Linked DNA regions of Arabidopsis thaliana. The protein of the gene in region 1 interacts with the protein of each later gene in a pairwise test. Each region holds a gene or a part of one and is shown on either strand. Other genes may lie near its edges.

Evidence for each region.
Region 2: the proteins of AT1G15610 (region 1) and AT4G26770 interact in a protein complementation assay, tested with the Arabidopsis thaliana proteins (one large-scale study listed by BioGRID).
Region 3: the proteins of AT1G15610 (region 1) and G1 interact in a protein complementation assay, tested with the Arabidopsis thaliana proteins (one large-scale study listed by BioGRID).

What each region holds. Positions count from the first base shown.
Region 1 is NC_003070.9:5,366,560-5,374,064, forward strand, and holds AT1G15610 (uncharacterized protein), read left to right. Parts: upstream 1-4,197; 5' UTR 4,198-4,233; coding exon 4,234-4,625; intron 4,626-4,701; coding exon 4,702-4,827; intron 4,828-4,906; coding exon 4,907-5,120; downstream 5,121-7,505. Other genes in the region: AT1G15590 (E3 ubiquitin-protein ligase), read left to right, coding at 815-1,200, 1,279-1,404, 1,646-1,673; AT1G15600 (uncharacterized protein), read left to right, coding at 2,364-2,719, 2,793-2,921, 3,025-3,202; AT1G15620 (uncharacterized protein), read left to right, coding at 6,994-7,376, 7,461-7,505.
Region 2 is NC_003075.7:13,477,727-13,487,058, reverse strand, and holds AT4G26770 (Phosphatidate cytidylyltransferase family protein), read right to left. Parts: upstream 4,996-9,332; 5' UTR 4,841-4,995; intron 4,508-4,840; 5' UTR 4,480-4,507; coding exon 4,273-4,479; intron 4,201-4,272; coding exon 3,786-4,200; intron 3,711-3,785; coding exon 3,569-3,710; intron 3,495-3,568; coding exon 3,338-3,494; intron 3,247-3,337; coding exon 3,199-3,246; intron 3,122-3,198; coding exon 3,035-3,121; intron 2,947-3,034; coding exon 2,818-2,946; intron 2,735-2,817; coding exon 2,678-2,734; intron 2,603-2,677; coding exon 2,519-2,602; intron 2,452-2,518; coding exon 2,362-2,451; 3' UTR 2,116-2,361; downstream 1-2,115. Other genes in the region: AR192 (Co-chaperone GrpE family protein), read left to right, coding at 499-642, 896-1,339, 1,424-1,591, 1,671-1,799, 1,895-1,993; MAP65-2 (microtubule-associated protein 65-2), read left to right, coding at 5,759-5,830, 5,904-6,107, 6,192-6,437, 6,514-6,729, 6,892-7,047, 7,125-7,436, 7,530-7,617, 7,706-7,854 and 1 more; EXT-like (hydroxyproline-rich glycoprotein family protein), read left to right, coding at 8,677-8,770, 8,856-8,956, 9,256-9,332. UniProt on the Arabidopsis thaliana protein: May be involved in the synthesis of minor phospholipids and in modulation of IP3-mediated signal transduction.
Region 3 is NC_003074.8:19,207,400-19,215,218, forward strand, and holds G1 (transmembrane protein G1P-related 1), read right to left. Parts: upstream 3,451-7,819; 5' UTR 3,265-3,450; coding exon 2,494-3,264; 3' UTR 2,116-2,493; downstream 1-2,115. Other genes in the region: BAG4 (BCL-2-associated athanogene 4), read right to left, coding at 1-62, 140-396, 572-779; ATG2 (metallopeptidase M24 family protein), read right to left, coding at 3,862-3,938, 4,027-4,227, 4,289-4,380, 4,467-4,603, 4,689-4,904, 5,391-5,544, 5,637-5,786, 5,882-5,966 and 1 more; EM1 (Stress induced protein), read left to right, coding at 7,419-7,536, 7,722-7,819. UniProt on the Arabidopsis thaliana protein: Heme-binding chaperone that may be involved in cytochrome c maturation in mitochondria.

The DNA of each region.
Region 1 (7,505 bases):
AGACAAGCTTGTTTAGCATTGATTTATCTTGTCGGCCCCATTCGAAGATCTTGTCGAAATTTTTATGTCATGTTTTTTCATTCCTTTGCCGCTTCGTGTTTAAATGTCGATAATATGGATCCGTTGGTTCGACACACTGGACGGCCACGATTTTGTTACCGACAAAGTAGGGTTTCTTTCTCAGCCGTTGGATCAGAAACACGTTACTTTCTATTAGACATCCCATGTTATGTGTGATTTGTTATGTCTGTATCCCATTCTTTTAATCAACGACATAATAATAAAACAACATATTCATGGTCGAATATATATTAGTGCACTTTAAAATCTACGTATATTTATGTTTCTCGACAACCGAACACGTGTTACTCAAGGCTAAGACAAGTTATTATATTATTTCATTTTTTTCTACACGTAACACACTACACAGTGCATACATAATTTCAAAGAAAAAAATGCATCTACGTTTTCGTCATATATCTTGTTTCTGCTATTCACACATGTGCCCGATACTTTCATTACATCATACGTAATCTACACATGTACACCATACTTTTGTCATTATTTGTTACGAAATAGAAACAGAACTGATCAAAATATCAATTACGGGATATATTTCCATTTTTCATAGATATTTCCATATCTTTGTATCTCCAATAGTACATTTTTGGAATGTTCACATGTTGATAGATAAGCTAGATTAGTCAAATTTCCTTGTACACAATTTCTAGTTTTCGATTGATCATGTAGAATTGCGTATAATATATTGTCGGCTGGCTTTAGCCAATGAATAACACAACAAGACTTTGTGATAATGGACAGCGAATCCCACAGTGATAATGATGATCACATAATCGACATTACAAACGATGAAGATTCTTCATCAAGATCGTCTTTGGACGAGAGAAGCTATCCTTCATTAAGTTCGTCTCTGTCTACGGATGACGAATCGTCAGATGAAGGTGCAAGTTCATCTACGAGAGACTGTGGTAGTCTTTGGAATATAATGGAATTAGTAGTCACTTTGGTTCAGATTGTTGCATCATTAATAGTTTTAACTCTGGCAAAAGATGAACATCAACAAGCACTTTTGTTAACATGGGTCATCGGTTACACTTGTGGCTGTATTACCATTACGCTCCTTATTCTCCTCTCGTGTGTCCGCAAATACAACCGAATTGGTGTTTACTCAAAAACGAGGTATAATAAACAACACTTGTTTCACTTAACATTAAGAGTTTAATTAGCTAAATCAAACCGAACCGTTGTTGGTGGCAGAACGGATAGGGTAATGGATGCTTTGAAGATGGGGAATGAATGTTTCTTTGTTGTGTGGTTAGTTATGGGGATTCTATGGATTTGTTATGGACACTCATCTTCTTCTGATACTCCTAAGCTCTACAGGTTTGACTCACAATCATGTCACAGTAGAGATTTAGTTAAACCCTAACTAATCAGTACTAACTTTTGTCTTCTTGATTATGTTTTGGCAGGTTATGTGTAGTCTTCATTGCTTTCAGTTGCATTAGATTTGCATATGCATTACTATTATGCGCAGGTATTTTTTTCGCTTAATGTTCACTAGAGTTTGGAACATTTTTTTCTCATATCTATGATGTGGATAAGTTGAAATCAAATGATGTAGATTCTGTAAGGGAAGGTATAGGAGGTAGATTTGTTTTCAAGAAACCGAGCCATGATGATGTGAGTAATAATTTCATATCACATTAATTACTCTGTTTTAAATAGCATTTTTTTGTTGTTGTTGTTGTTTAATTTTCATGGTTTGATGGTGTGTGCAGAGTTGTTGCATATGCTTGGGGAAATATGGAGAGGAAAAAGGAGTAGGACTAAGGAAACTTGAATGCTCACACGTATTTCATTCGCAATGTATAGACAAATGGCTGAAAATCAAATCCACATGCCCTCTCTGTCAATCACAAGTTAGGTGGTGATGAGATGAGGTTGATTTTTTTTTTATTTTTTTTTCGCTCAAGAGTAATTGTACACATTCAATAAACAAAAGTGGTGGGAAACTGAAAGATACGATCCTGTCTTCTTGTGTTGTCTGTCTTAAAACAGAAAATAAATATCATACAGATCATTTGACCTATTAACAATTTAACTTGTCCAAAACATCTGCAATATATATAAACATTGAAATCTCAGCTTTGATCTTCATTTTTCAAAATAATGTTTTATTTGTAACACGACTAATACGTACTTAGTATTGATCTGGTCTAAAAAAATACTAATAATTTTATCAACAAAGAAGGAAAGGTATATGCTTTGTGCTCGTCAACGCAAATTTGAATGAACTTTTCATTTGATCGGCAAGAAATAGGAAAAACCAAAAGTGATCAATGGAGGGCCCTTTGTTGAGCGAGTGTGAACACATCATTGACATTACAAGCGATGGTAGTTCTTCATCAATTGATGGTCAGCAACCACACGAGGGTGTTGAATTGGGTGATCCATACACAAATGAAAGCATTTGTAATTCAATCGAGTTTGTTGTGACTTTGGTCTTGATTGCTGCGGTCATAATCGTTCTGATTGAGCCAAGAGATGAAGAACATCCACAAACAATGTTGTCTATATGGATCATCGGTTATACATGTGGCTGTATTGCCACTCTCCCTATCCTATGTTGGCGTTTTTGGCTTTATAACCGAAGCGTTGGCTCCGAATCTACAGATGAATACTTAAGAGAGACAAGGTATATATAAATTGTGTTTTCTTTTATCTTTTTATGCATTAGATTGAGATATAATGGTTTTATTGGTTTGCAGAATCAACAAGGATATGGACTTTTTTATGACGGGTTTCTTCGTGGGTTGGTATGTGGTGTTTTTATGGATTCTTTCTTCCAAAGCATTCGACTCATCAGCTCTAGATGATACTACAACTCAATACTTCTGGTGCGTATCAAACGAAATTTCCAATCATATGTATACCTTAAAACGTATATATTGACCTTTCTTATACTCATGCCTTTGGCCTTCTTCATTGTCTCTTTTGCAGGTTATGTTTGGCTCTCCTTACTTTCAGTTGCATTAGATATGTTCTTTTTAATCTAACATTGGCAATGGTCTGTTATACTACTCCTTTGCTTTTACTTACGCCTGTGGTCATATGTGTTCTCCTTGCTGTGGAAGTCTTAAAAGGCATTGTAGCATGCATTGTATCATGCATCTGCTGAAATCGAACTAATAAAAATATTTTGTTTGTAAGCCTAGGAGAATGGGCGTTTAAAATCAAAGTAAAGCAGAGTACCAGAATAAAAATGTTTTGTGTTCATGTTGATGATTTTAATCTTATTAAGGTAGAGAAAAACAGTAGCTAAGGTTTTTTGAAATGATCAAATATGATCATCTCGTCTTATTTCCTCTTTTTATTTTATTTTTCTCCCTCGTTAATATTATTCTCCATTAAATGACAGTTTTGACTGACCATTCTTATTCGTGCGTTTTCGCTATTCAGATATGTATTTTAAGGGCCCGTACTTTAATGGGCTTTTTAAAATCTGACTTATTTCGAGTCGAGTCCTACCTCATTGTGACATTTACCCAAATAATCACGTGTTTCAGAATAACCTTTTATAGGCCTTATTATTTTGACAGATTTGGGTAAATCGAAATGGATATATAGATAACTTTAACACCAAAGATAAGATAACTAAGAAAAATAATAAAATATTATAGTTTCCCAAATAATAAAATTTAACACCAAAGATTTCTCCTTTTACAAAAAAGACATATTACTTCTTCTAGCTTCCCAAATAATACATCAAGCACCAAAGAATTAGGAAGACTATAATTTAGAACCAAATATTTTGAAATTTTACTCTAACGGGCTACAATTGACTAATAATTGGTCTTGGTGTAGGTAAAACAAAAACACACAAAACAAATGTAGCTCCGAAAGTCTACTCATTGTAAAGGACTTTATGTGATTGACTTAGAATTGGTATTGGTGTCGATTAGGTCTTAAGATAATAATATAGCTGGAAATGTCTATTATTCGTATTTAGAGAAGAATGACTAACTTTTTTTTTGTTCGTTAGAAGTTTACAATTGACTTATAGAATAGATCTTGACGTAGATTGGGTCTTAGAATAATAATTTAGCACCAAAGAATCGGAGAGGGCTTTATGTAATTTGTATTTCAACGCTTGTTTAGATGAACTATTAATTCGATTGGACAAAATAGAAGAAAGCAAAAAAGTGATCAATGGAGGGCCCTTTGTTAACCAAGAGTGAGCACAACGTCGAAGACGTTACAATCCATGGCGATTCTTCCTCAAATGATGAGCACATCATCGACATTACAATCAATGGCGGTTCGTCATCAGCTGATCATGAGCAAACTCCACATGAGGCATTTCAATGGAGTTGTCCATTTACAAGTGGAAGTTTCTGGATTTTGGTCGAGTTAGCTGTGACTTTGGTCCAGATTGTTGCAGCCATATTTTTTCTGATTCTAACAAAAGATGAACGAGATCCAGAACTAGATGTAGCTTTGTTTACATGGATCATCTTTTATACTTGTGCCTCTATTGCCACTTTGCCTTTTGTATGTTGCCGTTTATGGCAGTATATCCAAAACGCTAGCTCAGAGACAAGGTATAAACTGTGTTTCTTTTTCTTTTTCAGGCATTAGAGACTGATATCCTCAACAATGGTTTTTATTGATTTGCAGCAACGAGGTGATGGAGTACCGTTTGGAAAATTTTCTTGAATCTTTCTTCGTGTCCTTGATTGTGGTGTCTTTATGGCATATTCTAACCGAGTCATCATCACGTCAAGATACTAGTCGACACTTCTGGTGCGCATCTAACTAAATTTACAATTATGGCTAAACAACATAATTTACCTCTCTAGAACTAACAAATGTCCTTTTCCAGGTTATGGCTGGGTCTACTTGCTTTCAGTTGCATTCGATATGTGCTTCCTAATTTCCAATTTACCGTACAGTTATTCATGTTGCCTGGGGTGTCCCTTGTTACTGCACTTGTGGCCGCCATAGTAACGATGATTAATTCGTTACTCTCACTCTTTTTGGTCATCATTGGACTCTTTGCGTTAACCTTTTCGTGGATCATTGGAATGTGCGGATAAAAATGATGGATCATGTTGTTTTCTTCAACAATTGTTGTAATACTCTCTTTCTATTTATTAAATAAAGCCAAGTGTCATTAGCATTACCGAATCCTCTATTCCTGAAATGGCCGGCAAAACTGAAACTAAAGGCTTCTCTGTACCAATATCTCTGCAGCAAGATAAACATTTCAGTATCTGCATTTCAACATGTACAACTGGTTTGTCTATTGTAAAAGGCCTCTTTGGCCATCTTGATGAAGCGCTTCATGTTGAGACAGCATGTGGCACGCCCGACAATTCTTTTTAAGAGTGCACCCATAACATATATGTTCTTATGCTATCAAACAACCCACAAGGAACCTGAAGATGATAACTACTTGATAGAGATGATATGACTTCAATCAATCTCGATCGGGTTCGGTTAAGGGCACTAATAGATAACCTGCTATATGGGAGTGTGAAGACCATTAATTGGTTTTTCACATATATATGACTGAAGAAATCAGCCGTAACCAAATATTAGTGTTTTTGCATCAGTTGGGGCCTTGGGGGTCAATTATGGAGTGGAATAATACATGAAAACTTGAATGGTCGCATGCAGAGCAGAGGTAGCCTTTAAATTAAAGCACACATCAAAATGTAGTGCAATGTTGCGAACTTTTATTCAACTAAACAATTTAACACTCGATCTTTGTGCGCCAATACCTCTGCACAACAAACAATTTAATCTCATCAATATGATCCGATTTTGAAGAACCACCTTCTTCTTCAGTGACTTCTCTGGCTACCTTCCATTAACTGTCGCTGTCATAACGACGTGGAAGTTAACTTAATTGACTTTTAAAAGATTAATGATGCTGTATATTGGTCTTAAAATGGCACAAAAGGTTCCGTCTAGGCTTTGTGTTTCACTTTAAGTCTATAACTTAAAAAAAAAAAACTACTAATTTAGCACCAAATAATATCATAACCATTTTATTATAAATGACTATAATTAACGTAGAATTGGAATTGGTCAGTTGGTCTCGAGATAATAATTTAGCTCCAACGAATCGGACATATCTATGCTTTTATGTTTTTTTTTGGGTATAAGAATTTGTTATTAATTCTTATACCAAAATTATAGATATGATATTGTTTTATTTTAAAACAAAATAAATAATATATATATGAATGGTTTGATCTGATATTGGTTACGGTTAGGATACAAATTTTAATCCTGATACCATAGAGGTTTTATTAGTTCAATTTTCTTTCCGTTTGTTTATGCTCAACTTCAGATTCGTTGTCTTGCAATATTAAGATATGGTTCAATTATTGAGATATCATTTCAGTTACGTTCGCATCCGATTTGTTTAAGGTAATTGTAATGTTTTAATGATCACTTTTATTTGAATTCTGAAAATTGAAGTTTTAAAGATATTTTTTAAATAATCGATTTCAACAAAATAGAAAGAATTGTAATACATATTTTTTTTATCATAATATGAATTTTATATTTAATAGAAAGTTTCGATTATGCATTTAATTTCATACAATTGACTTTTCGACTGTTCATTTTTTTTAATTTTATTTTACAACGACTTTTAGACACTTCTTAGCACGAAAGAACTAAACGCAACATGTGCTTTGTAATTAAACGTCGAATGAATATGAATTATATTTGACCTAGGATTACGAATGATGTCGATCTGGAGTAATAATTTAGAACCGAACGACGACTTCGAAATATTACAATTGACTTATAGAATAGATCTCGACGTAGATTGGTCTTAAAATAATAATTAAGCACCAAAGAACTGGAGATGGCTTTATGTGCTCTGTGTTTTAAAGCGGATTAATAAGGACTTTTAATTCGATTGGGGAAAATAGAAGAAAGCAGAAGTGATAAATGGAGGACCCTTTGTTGACTCAGAGTGAGCACATCGTCGATGACGTTACAATCCATGGCGATTCTTCTTCAAATGAAGAGCACATCGTCGACGTTACAACCAATGGCAATCCTTCATCAGCTGATGAGAAAAGACCGCATGAGGGTGTCCAATGGAGTGATATATTTACATTTACCACTGTTTGTATTTTGGTCGAGTTTGTTGTGGCTTTAGTCCAGATTGTTGCCGCCATTGTTGTTCTGACTCTGGCAAAAGATGAACAACCTCCACAAAAAATGTTTCCTACACTGATCCTCAGTTATACCGGTTGCTGTATTGCCACACTCCCTATTCTAGGTTTGCGTTTCTGGCATTCTTACCGAAGTGTTAGCACAGAGACAAGGTATAAACTATAATTTGTATGTTAATTATTTGTTTTAAAGGCATTAGAAACCGAAACCGATATAGTGGTTTTATTGATTTGCAGAATCTACGAGGTGGTGGACATTTTGAAAAAGATGCTTGAATATTT
Region 2 (9,332 bases), on another chromosome or scaffold:
CAAATGACGTCAAATCTACACAACCTCTATATTAATCCAGCAATTTTAATTAAACACAAGAATGAAACTAAAAAAGCCAAACCACTTAGCAACAGTAACATACTGCTGCTTGTTCTGTTTGGTAGGACTGTACCAATCAGGCCCAGGAGATAAATGGACTTCGTCTGTCCCAAAGATATACAAGTACCTTTGGTTCTTTCTAGAGGCTTCTCAAATTAGCTTTCAAAATCTCCCATTTGCTATAATGACAATAATACCCTCACAGGCTCGCCGAATCAAAGCGATCATTTTAGCCTCAGCCCGCTCGTGCAGCGGTAAGGCTATTTACGTAAATTACTAAAAACCCCGAAAGAGAGAATTGTGAATTCTACTATCCATCCACCAAGCACTCTGTGTGCCTCTGCAAATTAACAATTTCCTCAGAACAATTACATTTCGATTCGATTCGATTCTCTTATCTTCTTGATCTCTGTTTGTTCATCTGTGGTGGATCTCCAGATGTTGGTTTTGAGAATTTTGTCGCGAGTAACCCGCAACGCGGGCATACGCTCATCTCTATCCGCCGTCACTCTTCCGGCGAGGAATCAGACTCCTGTTTTCTCGAGCCGGTTTCACTCCCTAGCTCACGATTTCTCGCATAAGGTTCGATTTTCACTCAAATTAATCACTATTCATGCCGAAATTGCAATTCAGGGTTTTGTTAGGGTTTAAGGCTTTCCCTCATTTGAGTTTCTAGAAATGATTGCTATCTTCTGATACTGTTTCCTTGATCTCTTATGTTTGAATCTTCAGATATATGAATAAACAATAGAAGAATGGTTTAGATTCTCTATAGGTTTTTGCTCTGTATCATTTCACTGAGTTTAACCCATTTTACTTTTTTTTTTGGGGGCAGCTTGTTCCAGCTCAGATGTCTATGATGGATTCGTTTGCACTGCAAAGGTTCAATTTTTCTTCCTCTACCTCGCCTGAATCAGATGAGAAGAAGACCCACACTGAGGCCTCAAAGACAAGTGAAGAGAAACCTACAGCTGAGGCAAACCAACCAGGTCTTGACTCTGAATCTAAAGATTCTGTGACAGATTCTGCAAAAAGAAAGCGGAAAGGTGCTAAAGGAGCTGCATCTTCATCTTCTGAATCAGATTCTGAGAGTGATGATGATGAATTGTCAGCCGATGATTTGGTGAAGCTCGTAGCTGAGAAGGAAGAGCTACTGTCTGAGAAGGAAGAAGAGATTAAGCAGTTGAAAGACAAAGTTCTTCGCACTTATGCTGAGATGGAGAATGTCATGGACAGAACAAGACGTGATGCTGAAAACACCAAAAAGTATGCCGTACAGGTTAGTCTTTAAGAACTTGGTTTGCAGCTTTTGTTTCATATAATAGTTTTCTGAAATATATATATTCACTATATATGTATGCAGAATTTTGCAAAGAGCCTATTGGATGTGGCGGATAATCTTGGAAGAGCTTCTTCGGTTGTCAAAGAAAGCTTCTCAAAGCTTGACACCTCAGAAGATTCTGCTGGAGCAGCTCCACTATTAAAGACCCTTTTAGAAGGAGTGGAGATGACTGAGAAACAGCTTGCTGAGGTAAATATCGAGAAATGTAATTATAAGACCTTAAGTAAGCAATGCAGATGAGACCGGTTAAACATGTGTGCCGCTGCAGGTATTTAAGAAATTTGGTATGGAGAAGTATGATCCTATAAACGAGCCATTTGATCCAAACAGACATAACGCAGTGTTCCAAGTCCCTGATGCTTCTAAGCCAGAAGGCACAGTTGCTCATGTCTTGAAGGTAAATATATAAAGCTTGCTCAATTCTTTGTCTCTTTATTTCATATTGTATAGTCTTAAATACCAATTAGTAATGATGGGTGTCAATATGTGCAGTCTGGATACACGCTGTATGACCGAGTTATAAGACCAGCTGAGGTTGGTGTTACCCAGGGAGGAGAGAACCAAGAAGAAAAGAAAGAGTCTGATGCTTAAGAAGAAGTCAGCTGGTTTTCATAAATTTTGTTACGGTTCTATGTTTCCATTAACATCTTCTCGAGTCTTCGAGTCATAGTTTTCTTTTGTGGTTTGGTTATTCATTAGATGAACAAGATCTCCCATAAGTTGCTGGACATGGCATTTGCAGGGGAAATCCTGCTTCTGTGTCTGTTTTCTCTATCTCCATGCTATAATTGAACGAGGAAAATATCATTTTACATCTCTTCTACTCGCACACTATTACCAAGTCTCTGTTTGATTAGTTAAATCAGATACAAATCAAGGTTTTACATGGTCTGATACAACCAGAAACTAACCATAGAGAAAGAAGCTGAAAACAGAGTCACAAAACTTGCACTCACTATTTAAAACCTCCCTTGCAACTTATGTTGAAGAATGTCTCCGAGCTTTTCATAAAGCATTTTCTGCTCCTCGTGTCCCAGGCTCCTCGATATCTGCAGGTATAATACAATCAATTATTTACAATGCCTCCGTATTCTTGGCTTATATGATGATTCTTACCTGGTCTAGGATCATCTCGACACTGTAGTCCCGATTAACAATGAAAGATTGGATGTAGATGTATGCGAAAACCGCCATAACCATCTGCATTTAGGCAACAAGATTCGTTTAAAACGATGCAAAGATCATATTGCACTTTTCGACGTTAGTGACTCTTACTTGGCAATCCATTCTGTCAGTAAATCCTCCATGTCCTGGTATGCTGTCTCCGAAATCCTGTCAAAGCGACATAAACTAGTAAATATTTGTTCTTGGATCTGTAGATACAAAACCTTTTAATGTTTGAAAAATGTGTTAACCTTGATCTTGAAAGCTCTTTTGAAACCGCTTGCGAAGAAGCCACCAAAAGGCGCCATAATGGATGCGAATAGACCGAGAGAAAAAGCATGCCATTGGACAGGCAGGGTCGAGATCCCTTTCCATGGAGACTGTTAAGCAAAGTTCACAACGGAGCTCAGTTTCAAAACAAGACAACATCATCGGCTGGTTTTCACGAGAGGACAGTTAATTGCTTACAAATGGAGTAATCCAAGAGGGAAATGGGTAATACTCTGGCCTGAAGAGAGGGCCTGGATCACAATGAAGCCAACCAGTTGATAAATCCTGCAAAAGATATGCAACACAAGGATGAAGTAAAGGCCGAGACAAAATATTGTGATGGAGATATCACTTTTTGTTACCTTCCTTGGACATGTAAGCCATTGGAACTGGCCTAAGACATTAGCAAACTGTTGTACGAAGCAGATAATAATCTATCAGTCTTGAGACCAAAAGAAAGAGTTACGAACGAATGAATAAATGATAGAAGAAGGTTATTACAATAAATGCAGAGATTATAGTTGCAACTGATGCTCCGATGAAACCTTCCCATGTTTTCTTTGGAGACAACTTGATGAGCGGAGTTTTCCCGAAATAGAAACCGAAGAAGTAAGCTGCTACATCGTTCATAGCAATCAGTGCTGCTGGTAGAAGAAACCTGCATATTTAAAAGAAATTAGCACTCGGGAAAACTATTATGCTTCAGTGGATATATATAAGAGTCCATTGTACCAGAAGATCCCTTCAAAAATATTGGCGACGGTGAAAGAAGATTGAGTAAAGACAACGATAAGGATCATATGTGTCCAAGCGTATTGCCCAAACTGATACTTATACATCTTATTCTTCAATGTAAGGATAAACCATATGAGACCTGAATCCAACTTAAGCTGTTAATAAATCAAGAAAGAGAGTATTGTTTTTGTGAAGAAAAAAGAAACAGACAAACCTGCGATGTACAAGAAGTAGCAAATAACCATCTGGTACTTGATAAGACCACTCACAAGCTTGTATATGAATCTATCTGAAGAAACCGTGTTGACTAGCTGCTGTTGAATGATGCGTCCATAGACAAACAACATAGCCGTGAAGAAGAAGTGCCAATTCAAGAGCCAGAAACCGGGTAAGCGACGTTCTTCATGAGCTCTTCTGCGAAGAAAGAAGAGCTCTTTGGCCATGAATATCTGTATAACCACAACCATAGCCCAAATGTAGAGATGACCCATGTAGATTATAAACACAACTCCACCGAGCATCCAGAGAGATGAGCATGTCCTTATCCACATTGATCTGTACTTGTTCTTATCACCAAGTAACAAATTGCTTACTCTGCTTACATTGCTTCTGTTCACCTCAGCTAAATTCTGATCAATATTGAAAAAGACAATCAAATTTTGGATTCAACCGGAAAAGAGAGTATGACATTGTATAGATACCTCGCTTGATCGCCTGCGGTGTCGAATGCGAGCTGTTGGAGAGCTAGGAGTATAATTGTAATCCCTTGGTGAATTAGGAATGTTGGGATAATGGTTATCTCTCTGGTTATTAGTATTCATTCGAGACGTTGGTGTAGTAGGGTAACTAGTATCCCTTAGCTTTCTAATCCGTGGAGAATTTGGACTGAGATCTTTCTCCATTGCCATTGAGATCCCTAGGAAATGCTCTCAGTTCCTGGATTGAGTTCTTGAAATTCAGTTAATCATGATGATCTGGGTTTCTTTATACATCCGAGGAAATGAATTTGGGGTTGATCTATAATTTCAAAATGTCAACCATAACTCGAGCTTATACACGTCTTAATGAAACACACACATTGATATCTGATGAGAGATTACTTGTGTAACAAGCATATAATAGAGGATTTAGATTTGAATGTGTAAGCCTAGAAATCTAAATGATTCATCAAAGCAAAACGTGATGATTCACATACAAAGGATAAATTTCATAAGTGAACATTGCAACAAAATGGGATCATGACAAGTAGAAAAAAGAGAATGAACTTACATTAACGAAAACGTGGTGGGATGATGGTGATTGAAAATGCGAAACCCTAATTAATGAAAAGAAACGTGAAGAAAGAAACTCAAAAGGTGAGGGAAGAAGGAGGAGGAGGAAGGTGGTGGATGAGCACTTAGCGGTGAGGTTTCATCAAATCATCGGAAGAGAGAACCAATAAACTATTCATGTCGCTGCTTCATGTTTAAACCCGGAATGAGTGACACGTGTTGTCTTGATCTGTTTGGGCTGGGTCAGATATTTAAGCCCATTAAGGAAAGCCTTTTAACTATTCAGACATGAGCATGAGGAGTCAACGAGGTCTGTGAGATCAGTGGTCAAATCAGTAAATAACGCGAAAAGACAGGGTCTCTCACCTTTTTGCTGTTGTTTTTTCCTCATTAATTATTGAGTTCCGTAAAATGGGTCCCACTTTTCCCATTTCCCAACCTCCATAACCAAAGTTGGAGATTTCTCTGTTTCCTATGCTCTCTCTCTCTCTTACTCTCACAGTGACTATTCGTCGCTTCAGATCTAAAAGAGAGGAAGATAAACCATTTGGATTCAATATCGATTAAGGTAAGAAAGCCATCTTCTACTTGTTGGATTCGATTAGTTTCATTTCAGCTCATTGCCTCTTTACTTCTTCAATGTTGATTTCTTGCTTTGGCTTTGGTTTTATCACCAATGCTGTTTGATTTCTTTGAAGTTCCTTTCGAGCTTTTCTTGAGCTTAGTTTCACATTCTTAGCTTCACTAAGTTCTTTGATGTGTTTTTGTTCCCAAGTTCAAAATGTTGTTTCTGATTCAATTTGGTTTTCTAAAAAAGATTGCAACTTTGGTTTCTTTTAGTGTATAGTTAGTTTGGATCTTCACTAAATATGTTCGTTGTTTCTACTTTTGTAGGAAACCTTTTGACTTCACAAGAATGGCAGTGACAGAAGCAGAAAATCCTCTTCTTGGTGAAATCACTTGTGGCACCTTACTACAGAAGTTGCAGGTAGATTTCGCAACATACACACTTATCCTTTTAATATATGGTTCCACAAACTCAATGTACAAACTTGTTACAGGAAATCTGGGATGAGGTTGGGGAGAGTGATGAAGAACGAGACAAACTGCTTCTACAGATTGAGGAAGAGTGTCTGAATGTTTACAAAAAGAAAGTTGAGCTAGCCGCAAAATCTCGTGCAGAGCTTCTTCAGACTTTGTCAGATGCCACTGTTGAACTTTCCAATCTCACAACTGCTCTCGGGGAAAAAAGCTATATCGACATTGTAAGTAATCTCACGTCTTACAAGTGGTAAAGAGATGAGATGGTTACAGTGTAGTGTGATTCAATGTCTTTGTTTCCATTGCAGCCTGATAAGACTTCAGGAACGATCAAAGAACAACTTTCTGCAATAGCACCTGCGCTTGAACAACTTTGGCAACAGAAAGAGGAAAGGGTCCGGGCATTTTCTGATGTACAATCACAGATTCAGAAGATATGTGAGGAGATCGCTGGCGGATTGAACAATGGACCTCATGTGGTTGATGAGACTGACTTGTCTCTAAAGAGATTAGATGACTTCCAGAGGAAACTCCAAGAGCTCCAGAAAGAGAAGGTAAAATATTAGTTGGGATATGGTTATGTGTGGCCTATGTTCAAACCAGAACTAAAACTGCTTTGTGTTTGAGCAGAGTGATAGGTTACAGAAGGTGCTCGAGTTTGTGAGCACGGTGCATGATCTATGTGCCGTCCTTCGTTTAGATTTCTTAAGCACTGTCACCGAAGTTCATCCGAGCTTAGATGAGGCAAATGGTGTTCAAACCAAGAGCATTAGCAATGAAACACTTGCAAGGTTGGCTAAGACTGTCTTGACTCTTAAAGAAGATAAAATGCAAAGACTTAAGAAGGTTAGTCAAAATCATGGTCTTTGTGATCTCTGACATGAGCTTGGTCAGTTTAGGCTGCACATATGTTGAAATCCTTTCTGATTAATTGCGCTGAAAGTTTGTAACTTTTCTCTGCACCATTCTTGTTTGTGGATTTCATTAATGTATCTTGGTTTTATGCAGCTTCAAGAACTAGCTACTCAGCTAACTGATCTATGGAATCTGATGGATACTTCTGATGAGGAAAGGGAGCTTTTTGACCATGTTACCTCTAACATTTCAGCTTCAGTTCATGAAGTGACTGCCTCTGGTGCTCTCGCACTTGATCTTATCGAACAGGTATCGTAAATTTGTAATGTATCAATCAATGTGTATGATAAGTACTGCTTTTAAAAATCTTCTGTGAACTCTTGAAGGCTGAGGTGGAAGTGGATAGGCTTGATCAACTGAAATCTAGCAGAATGAAGGAAATTGCATTCAAAAAGCAATCAGAGCTTGAGGAGATATATGCTCGTGCTCACATAGAAATAAAACCAGAGGTTGTTCGTGAGAGGATCATGTCGTTGATTGATGCTGGGAATACTGAACCTACTGAGTTACTGGCTGACATGGATAGCCAGATCGCAAAGGCCAAGGAGGAAGCCTTTAGTAGAAAAGAAATTTTAGACCGTGTAGAGAAATGGATGTCAGCTTGTGAGGAAGAGAGCTGGCTCGAAGATTACAATCGAGTATGCTAACATTGGCTATGTTAATAAACACATTACTTATTAAGCATAGAGTTCAATTGATGATTCTTTTGGGTTTTTGTTCTGGAAAAACAGGATCAGAACAGGTATAGTGCAAGCCGAGGTGCGCATTTGAATCTCAAGAGAGCTGAGAAAGCTCGGATTCTGGTCAGCAAGATTACTGGTAAGAACTTCCAAAAGTCTCTCTTAGTTATTACTACACATAGAATTAAACTGAGACTGAAGAATATATCATACTTTGTTTGTGCAAGCTATGGTTGACACGTTGATTGCTAAAACCCGGGCATGGGAAGAGGAGAACAGTATGTCCTTTGAGTACGATGGAGTTCCTTTACTCGCCATGCTAGATGAATACACTATGCTTAGGCAAGAACGAGAAGATGAGAAGCGGAGGCTGAAAGTAAGTTGTTTCATCCTGTGTTAAACCGATTGTTGAAACTAACTTCTTTTAAAATAATCTTGCCTTTTCATTAACAGGAACAGAAGAAGCAGCAAGAACAGCCACACACAGATCAAGAATCCGCCTTTGGGTCTAAACCAAGCCCTGCAAGACCCGTTAGTGCCAAGAAACCGGTGGGAACACGAGTCAATGGAGGAGGGCTCAACGAAACTCCTATGAGGCGTTTGTCTATGAACTCAAACCAGAACGGAAGCAAGTCCAAGAGAGACAGTCTGAACAAGATAGCTTCACCTTCGAACATTGTAGCCAACACAAAAGATGATGCTGCATCTCCAGTCTCTCGTGCTGACCCAGTGATGGCTTCACCGTGACAATATCAAAAGAAAGAGAGTTATAATGCTTACTTACACTTTTGTTAGTTGCTAATAGTGCTGTTTAAGAAACAAACACTTAGAAACAAAGACAATGAGAGTAGAATGTTACTTAGATGTTTCTGTTTCTGTATTCATTCACTCAAATTTGTTTGGTACTTGTTAGCATGACTAATGTGAAGTGACCGGTTTAGTGAATGAAAGTCAAGGTTCTAATTGGAATTACGAAATAATATTTGGGCAAAATTGTAATATACTGAAAGATCTTTTGGGCATGATTTAAAAGTTTAAAAAGTTTCCAAGAAGGTTTGGGATTTTAGAGGTCCTTTCTGCGACGTCGTTTCTAGTTTGCAATCAGAAGCGCGTTAAATACAGGAAAATTTCTTGAGCTGTTTTGTCTTAACAAATCAATCGGAGAAAAAGCTACGGAGCTCGAGAGAAGAGAGAATCTATGTCGAACCCAAACGAACCAGCCAGGGCTCTTCTGCCTTACCTGCAACGTGCCGATGAGCTGCAGAAGCATGAACCACTTGTTGCTTATTACTGTGAGTTTCGTTTTCTTATCTATATCTAACCTAGATGATCGCCTCCTGCGATTGTGTGTATTCATGGAATTTTGTGATTGATTAGGTCGGCTATATGCAATGGAACGAGGATTGAAGATTCCGCAGAGCGAGAGAACTAAGACCACCAATTCGATTCTCATGTCTCTCATTAATCAACTCGAAAAGGTATTACCTTTGAAGTTTTAAATTGTGAGTTTTTCTGATTTATTTCAGCTTGTTTGATTTTTTACTTGTTTAGATTTGAAAGGACCGGTTCTTAGTAATTCTCATGATGTGTTTGACTTTGATTATTATATGTTGTTACTTGTTACAAAGCTGGAGTTTTTTTATTTATGTTTGTGTTTGGTAAGGAGGCTTATATCTAAATTTAGCTTAGGTTTGTTCATGTGATTGACAGAGTTCATGAGGCAATTTCTTGATTAGTTCCAGTTTCTTATGGCGATTTCTTTTTTGTGTAACTCCAGGATAAAAAATCATTGACTCTGTCCCCAGATGACAATATGCATGTGGAGGGGTTTGCACTTAGTGTCTTTGCTAAGGC
Region 3 (7,819 bases), on another chromosome or scaffold:
ATGTCAAACTCCCGCACCGCAACTTGCGTCCCTCCATTCACAGCAACTTCTAAAGCAACAACCTAATTACCAAAAAAAACTAGCTTAAGCACAATCCTTCCGTCATCTCCAAAAGAAATACAGGCTTATAAAAACTCACTCTATCCGAGAGCTTATCGACCTCTCCTGTAACCGCGTTAACAGCAGCAATAGCTTTTTCCATCTCTTTAGTTACCACAGGAGGCTGTTGTTCCACTCTCTTATTCGTATCCTCAACAACAACAACAAGCTTAGACGCATCCTTAACACCAGCAGCTTGCAATTGTTCAGCATCATCTCTCTCAACTCCTCTGAACAAGATCTTCAATTCACTAGCTTCCAATCCAGTTTTCTGAACAAGAGCTTTCTTCACATCCCCTAGTTATCACATTCGAGCTTAAACATATCAATCTTCAACTACACTAACACAACTTCAACAAAAACTAAATAGAGCAAGAAAAATTTCATAATGAATCACGCTAAATTCTCTCAGGCTTCGATTATTTGGAATTTTCAGGCGATGGATCAGAAACGGAGCTGAGAGTTTTGTTACCGAAAGTGGCGTGAGCAGAAATATGAAGATCGTGGTGCGATGAGCCATGAGAAACAGTGATTCTGATGGTTTGAGCAAAAGCGGCGGAAGCAGAGTCGGGATCCTGGAGAGGTTTGTGGTCGGAGGAAGCGGCGTCGTCTCTTCGTTGGACGAGCATACCACCAGGTCTCACCTCCCATTCCGATTCTTCGGTTGAATTATGCATCATCGTTTTTCGACAATGAATCGGAGTATGAGATTAAAGTATAAAACCCTTTGGGCCAAAAAAAATTAGGGTTTTCCTTGTCAGGGTATTGATAGACGGATGATGCACACCTCCTCAAAACATACAAATTCTCCTGATAACACACATGTGTTTCAATTGTTATATATTTGTCTTTTTTGGTAATTAGAATTTTTAAGGACTAAATGAACCAAATATTTTCAGAAATTGTAACAATATTTTTTTTCTTCTTAATATAGATGTTTTGGTTTTTCACATATGATGATGATTTGTGAAACGTCAGAAAAAAAAAATCAATAAGTTTAAGATTGCCAAAAATAGGTAACGACTGATTTTGGATCCAGCCAACCGGCCCTGGATGGAATGATTCAGTGTCAATGTATATGTATATAACTCACGCTTTGGCAGGATTTGAGGCAGGATTTGAACAAGCCCAATTTTAGACAGGTCGGCCGAACCGCCACAATGCATATAGTGAGAGATTTAACTTGATATGGTCCCCAACCAAAAGAACTTATAGGCCTAAAATCTGAACTTTCTCTGAACCAAAAAACAAAAACTATCTACGAGGAATATGGAATAATCTAGTTAGTATAGGGCAGCAAGTATAGTAATGGTGATTTGTCCCATATTCAAAATGGACCAAGCACACAATAGCAATCGAATATAGTAGTGACAAATATCGTAATGCTCTTGTTCCATACTTGATAGTCAGTATTTTTGATGACTCAATCATATACCACTCGTTCCATACTTGATAGTCAGTTTTTGTTGACTGAATCATATACCACCCACGATAAATTTGCTATACAATGAGAGACTGATGCATATATAAAGATGCACTTAAAAAAAGCAAAAGCAATAGCGTAACTGCGGAACACTTCAAACTACAGCTACATTAGTAGACTAGTAGTTGGTTATCAACCAACAAGCCTAAGAGAAGTGCCAAAACAGAAGCCAATGCCATGATTCTAGAGGCAAAAACTAGGCACCTAATCGACTCAGAAAGTACAAACTTGAAATCTCCAGGGCCAGAATTGCCTAGTTGAAACATAAGATGCATAAAAGGAATGCATGACCATCTTCAAGATTGTCAACAAGCTCAACCCATATTTATAAAACAACAAAGAAAGAGCTTGGAACCTCCAGAACAACTAAGAGGAAGCTCTGAAAGACCTGTATGTTCAACTCTTTTGGCTATAGTACCTAGTCATGATAAGAATAAGGTCACACAAGCTACAACTTTGGTGATACGTTTACAATTATATACCCACGACCTGATGAAGCTAATAAGATTCACTAGATCAATCTAATCTGTGTGCAGCAACAAAACATAGCTTCTCTAATCTGTGTGCACATCAACAACAAACAAAACATCCAACAACACAATGAATCAAGCAGCATATTTGATCCCTCGTCAAAGTGTTCTTTATTTGATCAACACAACAAGAAAGTAGATTAGCTTATAGCTTTGTGGAATCAAACAAAGCTATTGTATAGTGTATCACATTTCTCCACTTAATTCTCAAATAGACTCAAAAATCAAATCTCTGTTTTCCAGGAATATAACATTCCAATCTTCCTACTCTTTTCCAGAAACTATAATCAAATATAACCTTATAAGATGAACAATACTCACCAAAAGCTCGAACTTGGGGAAAATTTTGATTAACTTAAAAAGAATGAAGTTTATACCAATCTAAGAAGCCGCAACTTCAGCAGCTTGTTCAGTCGCCGCCGCTTCAATAATTTTCTTATTCTTCTCAATCGCCGCCGCAACTTCCTGTGGCATATACTTCTCATCATGCTTAGCCAAAACTTCAGTCGCCGAGAAGAAACAATCGAGGTTCCTAGCTTTCTTCGAAATAGGTTTTGTAGAAACTTCCTTCCTTACTTCATCTGTATACGGCTTAATGAATCCTTCAACCACAACTGAATGACCTTCCCTAAACAGATCCGGCAAAGATCCTTTATACCTAACCAAAATATCAGTGATCAGATCAGTGATCACAAACTCCATCTCCTGTGACGCCGCCGGCTGCGCAACGCTACCTTCTAGAACCAAACCACCGAGTCTGAATTTGTTCTTTGTTGGATTCTCTGCGAATTTCTCCATAGCGTCTGATGGCGTTAGGTAGAAGACAAGCTGATCCTGAAATTGGTTAAGGACGATAACTACGAATCCGGCGATGCAGCTGAAGGTTAGCGCGTAGGTCCATAAACGGCGATTCTGCATCTGACGCGCTTTGGCTCCGATATCGATTTTCTTAGGACGTGTTGGACCGCGACGAGCGATGGAGAGAGATCGGAGGAAGGTTAAGGATGATAATCGCGATGGATCTGGTGAGGCGGTGGTCAATGAGTGAAAAATCGGGCAAGGTGGTGATTCGAATGACGATGAGATTTGAGGATTTCGTTGAATTGATCGGAGGATTTGAGAACTTCGACGGAACAATAACCTAGCTGCCATTTTCCGGGAAGATTGATTTTTCCTCGTGGGAATCAATCAAATTCCCGAGAGCGAGAGGTTTATGGGGTTTTCTGGAAAAATGAAAAAGAAGCCACAAGCCGCCCCACTGAAGAACTATGGACCACGTCAAGAACCCTCTCTGTGGTTTAGAGGGTTCAATCACAATTTCTTAAGTGAAATTCTGATTACTATTCGTTACAATCTCAAAATCAACCAATCCAAAAATCTGTATAAGCTTCGATTATTGAAGAGCTGAGTTTTTTTCTTCTGTCACAAATATTTCTCTTCTGTGGGATCAAATCCTTACCACGTAAACACATTCAAAGAGTAGTTTGTTGGTAACAAGTGTTTCTAAACAGAGTTATTGTTATAGCCTGAAACCAGATAAGTATTTTTGATTAGAGAATGAGATAAGATTAGGACAAGCAAAGAAATGATGATGAAAAGTGCTTTGTGCAAAAATATGCACAAAGGTGGTAAACTATTGTTTGTTTTTTTTTGTTTAAGAAGAGACTCTCTTGAAACCCAAACATACAACGAAAGAGGTACCTCAAGTTTCAAAAATTCTTTAAAAGAAACAAAGACAAATCTTCCTACTCATTCTTGAGCATTACTACTTGCGTCCATTGGCTCAGCCTCTGTTGAAGCCTCTCCTTTCTCTCCCGCCTTTTGGGCTGCAAAACACCAAATTGAACCTTTTTAATCAACATGTGGATCACGTCATATAAGGTAAAAGTCTGGAAATTTATTTTAAGTTCTTACCTTTCTTCTTCTTTCCACCACCTTTCTTCTTCTTGATGCCCAAAGCTAACCACCCTTTGATCTCAGGGTCTTCGATGGTCTTTTTAGGAAGTTCCTGAAGTGTATGTGAAGTGATCCTATCTGATCCATTTGGCATCAGCAAAACTGTGAACTTAATCTGAGCAACAAAATCCCCTGGTAGAAAACCAAAACGACATGAGCCTTGATATCAAGATTCAGATAAAAGAGGTTTATAGATTCAAAACCCTTTCATCATCCTTACCAGGCTTCTCGTAAAGAACAGGATATGGTTGCAAATGACCATGGTTCACACACTCCACAAGTCCAAGCCGTGCCCTTTTCTCCTCCAGTGACCTGTATTGATAATACTCTCAGGTAACGTTAGCAAGTGAGATAATAGTTTAAGGAATATAAAATGCTTCAGAAGGTACAAAAGACACCTTGCAGTGAATGGCATACGGGGGAAGTTCTGTTTAATTTCGCTGATTATGAATCTGGAGGCCTTCATCTTCAACTGATAGTTAACACTTTCATCTTTCTTGTAAATAGTTGTTTGCTTCTCGTCTAATAGCTTTGGCTGCAAAGTCAAAGATTGTGAGAACAATGGCAATAGACAAAGGTTCACCAATAGTGATCGGGATGCGATAAACAAAAGAAATTACCTTGCCATCACCAGTACTTGCCACAATATCTATTGCATAGACTTCATTCTCTTCAAATTCCACTTCGTCAACAGTTGTTTCAGGGCTGGATACACTAAGCACAACCTTGTTTCCATCTATCACATGCTGTTTCAGCTGGTGGGAAAGAACACCTTCAACAATTTTGCAGTCATAAGCTGCAGCTACCTTCTGAATAGCTTCAGTTACATCAGTGTTCTGCGATAAGAAAAACAGAATATCAATGTCTTGATTGCAATATGTTGTAGTACTAAACAAGAAACTACAAACTCGTAGCAAGAAACTTTATTTTAAAGAACTTTCCCACATCAGAGTAACTACGGCCTCATTTGGATGCGAATCCATAACAATTACGGTCTTCATCCAGAAATCTTTTCCCAAAACAATTTACATTTGAAGTCCGCTAAAAAAAAAAAGCATCGTGCAAGACCAAGAGAGGAAAACCTTAGACAAAGTTCCAACATCTCATAGTAAATCCAACGAGGGATCAGACTAAAAATCAGAATAAGAAAAATCCCATCAGAGTAACTATGACAAAAAAGCATCATATGGATAATAATCCATAGCCATTTATTAAGTGTTCATCATCTGGGTTTTGTAAAACCTTGACAATCATTCAAGAGGCAGTTATAGTACCAAAAGCCTATAGTTTCAAGTTTAATGTAAGAGTAAAACTGATGATACCTTTTTTCCAGGACGTACGAGCCTTAGAGCAACATCAGCTGCAGTATTTGCGGCAGCGATAACATCAGCCTTACGCCCACTAAGAGGCCCTTCTTGAAGAACATGTGTGTGACCAACAAGGGCAATGAACCCATCAATATGACATCCCATATCGCTGCAATTGAGAAACGCAAAACAACATCAGAAATAACACAGGTGAATCATACAGAAACATCTAAAAACAGGTATTACTTGAAGACAACTTACATTTTAACCATGTCACCATCTTCCAACACAGACTCATCACTAGCAAGCGGTGAAAAATGACCAACAGTGTTGTTCACAGAAATGCATGTAGGGAACGCAACACCTCTCTCAATCTTCTTCTTAGAATTCTTGTACATGCTTGCTGTTTGCCTTTAATACAAAAACAGAAGAAAGAACAAACACATAAATATCTAAGAGTAATCCAAGGTCGAATCTACATTAAGAACAAATTGAGATATACTCACTCTTTAATAAAAGAGTCTCCTTTCTCACAGATATCAACAATCTTAGCTTTTGGTTTGCATTCAGCTAAAACAACCTGTAACGCCTCTGCAATTGAAAACCCAACAGAAATCAATACTCGATAAAGCTACACCTTCAAAACCCTAAATCCAAATCGGACTTAAAACAAGAAAGGAAGAAAGAGAGGGTGTATTACTGTTAACGATCTCAGCGGCGCTCTTGTACTTGGTGACGACTTCAGGAGAGGTAAGACTCAGCTCCTTCTCGTCTCTCTCATCGTCCGAACTCATCTCTGATAACTCTCGAGAATCGAAACAGGGGAAGCAAAAATGTTAGGGTTTAAGGAGGAGCGATTGGGGGAAAACTGGTGGAGAAGGAGAGAAATGAAAGTGTTGGCTCAAATAAAGGTACTAGGGTTTTCGCTATGTGTGCTCTCTTCTTCTAACGATGCCGTTTTGGATTAATCCTGTAACGCTTTTTCTTAATTGCGTTACTTTTGTACTCCAGTATGGGCCGAAGAAGGGAAGCTGTTTCAGAATTGTGGCCACTAAACATTTACCCTTAACCGGGCCCATATAAGCCCACGTCAAGTGGCGCTTATACGCTCTCCGTAAGAGAGCCAACATTTGGTATGTAATGTTGCAAATTATTCTTCAAGACAATAAATTCAAATATAATTCAATATTGTCCAAATATAGTGATGTACTTCAGTTGTGCACATAGAAACTCCACTAAACCAACTTTTAGATAGATGCATTCACAAATTTTCAACAATGTCGCGAAAGTCTAATCCACACCAGATTCTAACATTTTAATTATTATATTTAACTATACATACTCTAATCAGCATGAGTCAAACGTGTACAATAGCCCAAGCATATAATAAGACCAAAGTCAAACTCAAATAAATGTCTCCAAACTCAAAACTTGAAAAAGACCTAATTATTACATGGTAGATATGACTTTGTCGACAAGTAAACCAACTAATCCTCGAAGCTACCTTCTCTTCCCAGTTATTATGTGTGATCGATTTATAAATCTCTTCTTCTAATAACACCTATATTTTTCTTATGATGTGAATAAATATAAAACTTTTAACTTTAAAACATATTTATCCGAAATATTGCACTTAGATTTCAAATAGATAAATAATAGTACTATCTAACTGATATTGAAAAGACCTAACACGGAAAACAGTTTTATAAAAAATCCCAAATGTGGGTAATTATCTTGATTTCTTGGGGGAAACAGAAAATGGATTAAGATTAATCGGAGTCGTGTCAAGCAGCTCGTTAATAACTGTAGCAAGTTGACTGAGTAAGCATCAACGTGTCATCTCCGTAAAGCCCATTATTTCTAGTCTCGCCGCGTCTTCTCTTCCACGTAGCACTTCACTTTTTCTCTCCTTTTGTTTCCTTTGGAACACAAACGTTTCTATTTATAGGAATAATTACGTCGTCCGTATCTGTGTCGGAACATAGATCCAAATTAAAAGCAACTTACTTAATTACATATCGTTCGTGTTTTTTTCTTCAAAAAATGGCGTCAAAGCAACTGAGCAGAGAAGAGCTTGATGAGAAGGCGAAGCAAGGAGAGACCGTCGTCCCAGGTGGCACCGGTGGCCACAGCCTCGAAGCTCAAGAGCATCTTGCTGAAGGTATTGCCGTAAATTACAACTTTTCCACACTCTTTTTATTTTCTTTAGTTCGTAAGTAATGGTTTTATAAGGCTAGAAACATTAGATCTTAATATCTTAAGATAAGATTAATCTACTTATTACGAACCTAAAGTTTACTCTATGATCTCCATGTTTCATGGAATGCATGTATGTACACTTGTTAGGAAGGAGCAAGGGAGGGCAGACGAGGAAGGAGCAGCTAGGACATGAAGGTTATCAGGAGATCGGTCACAAAGGTGGAGAGGCGAGGAAGGAGCAGTTA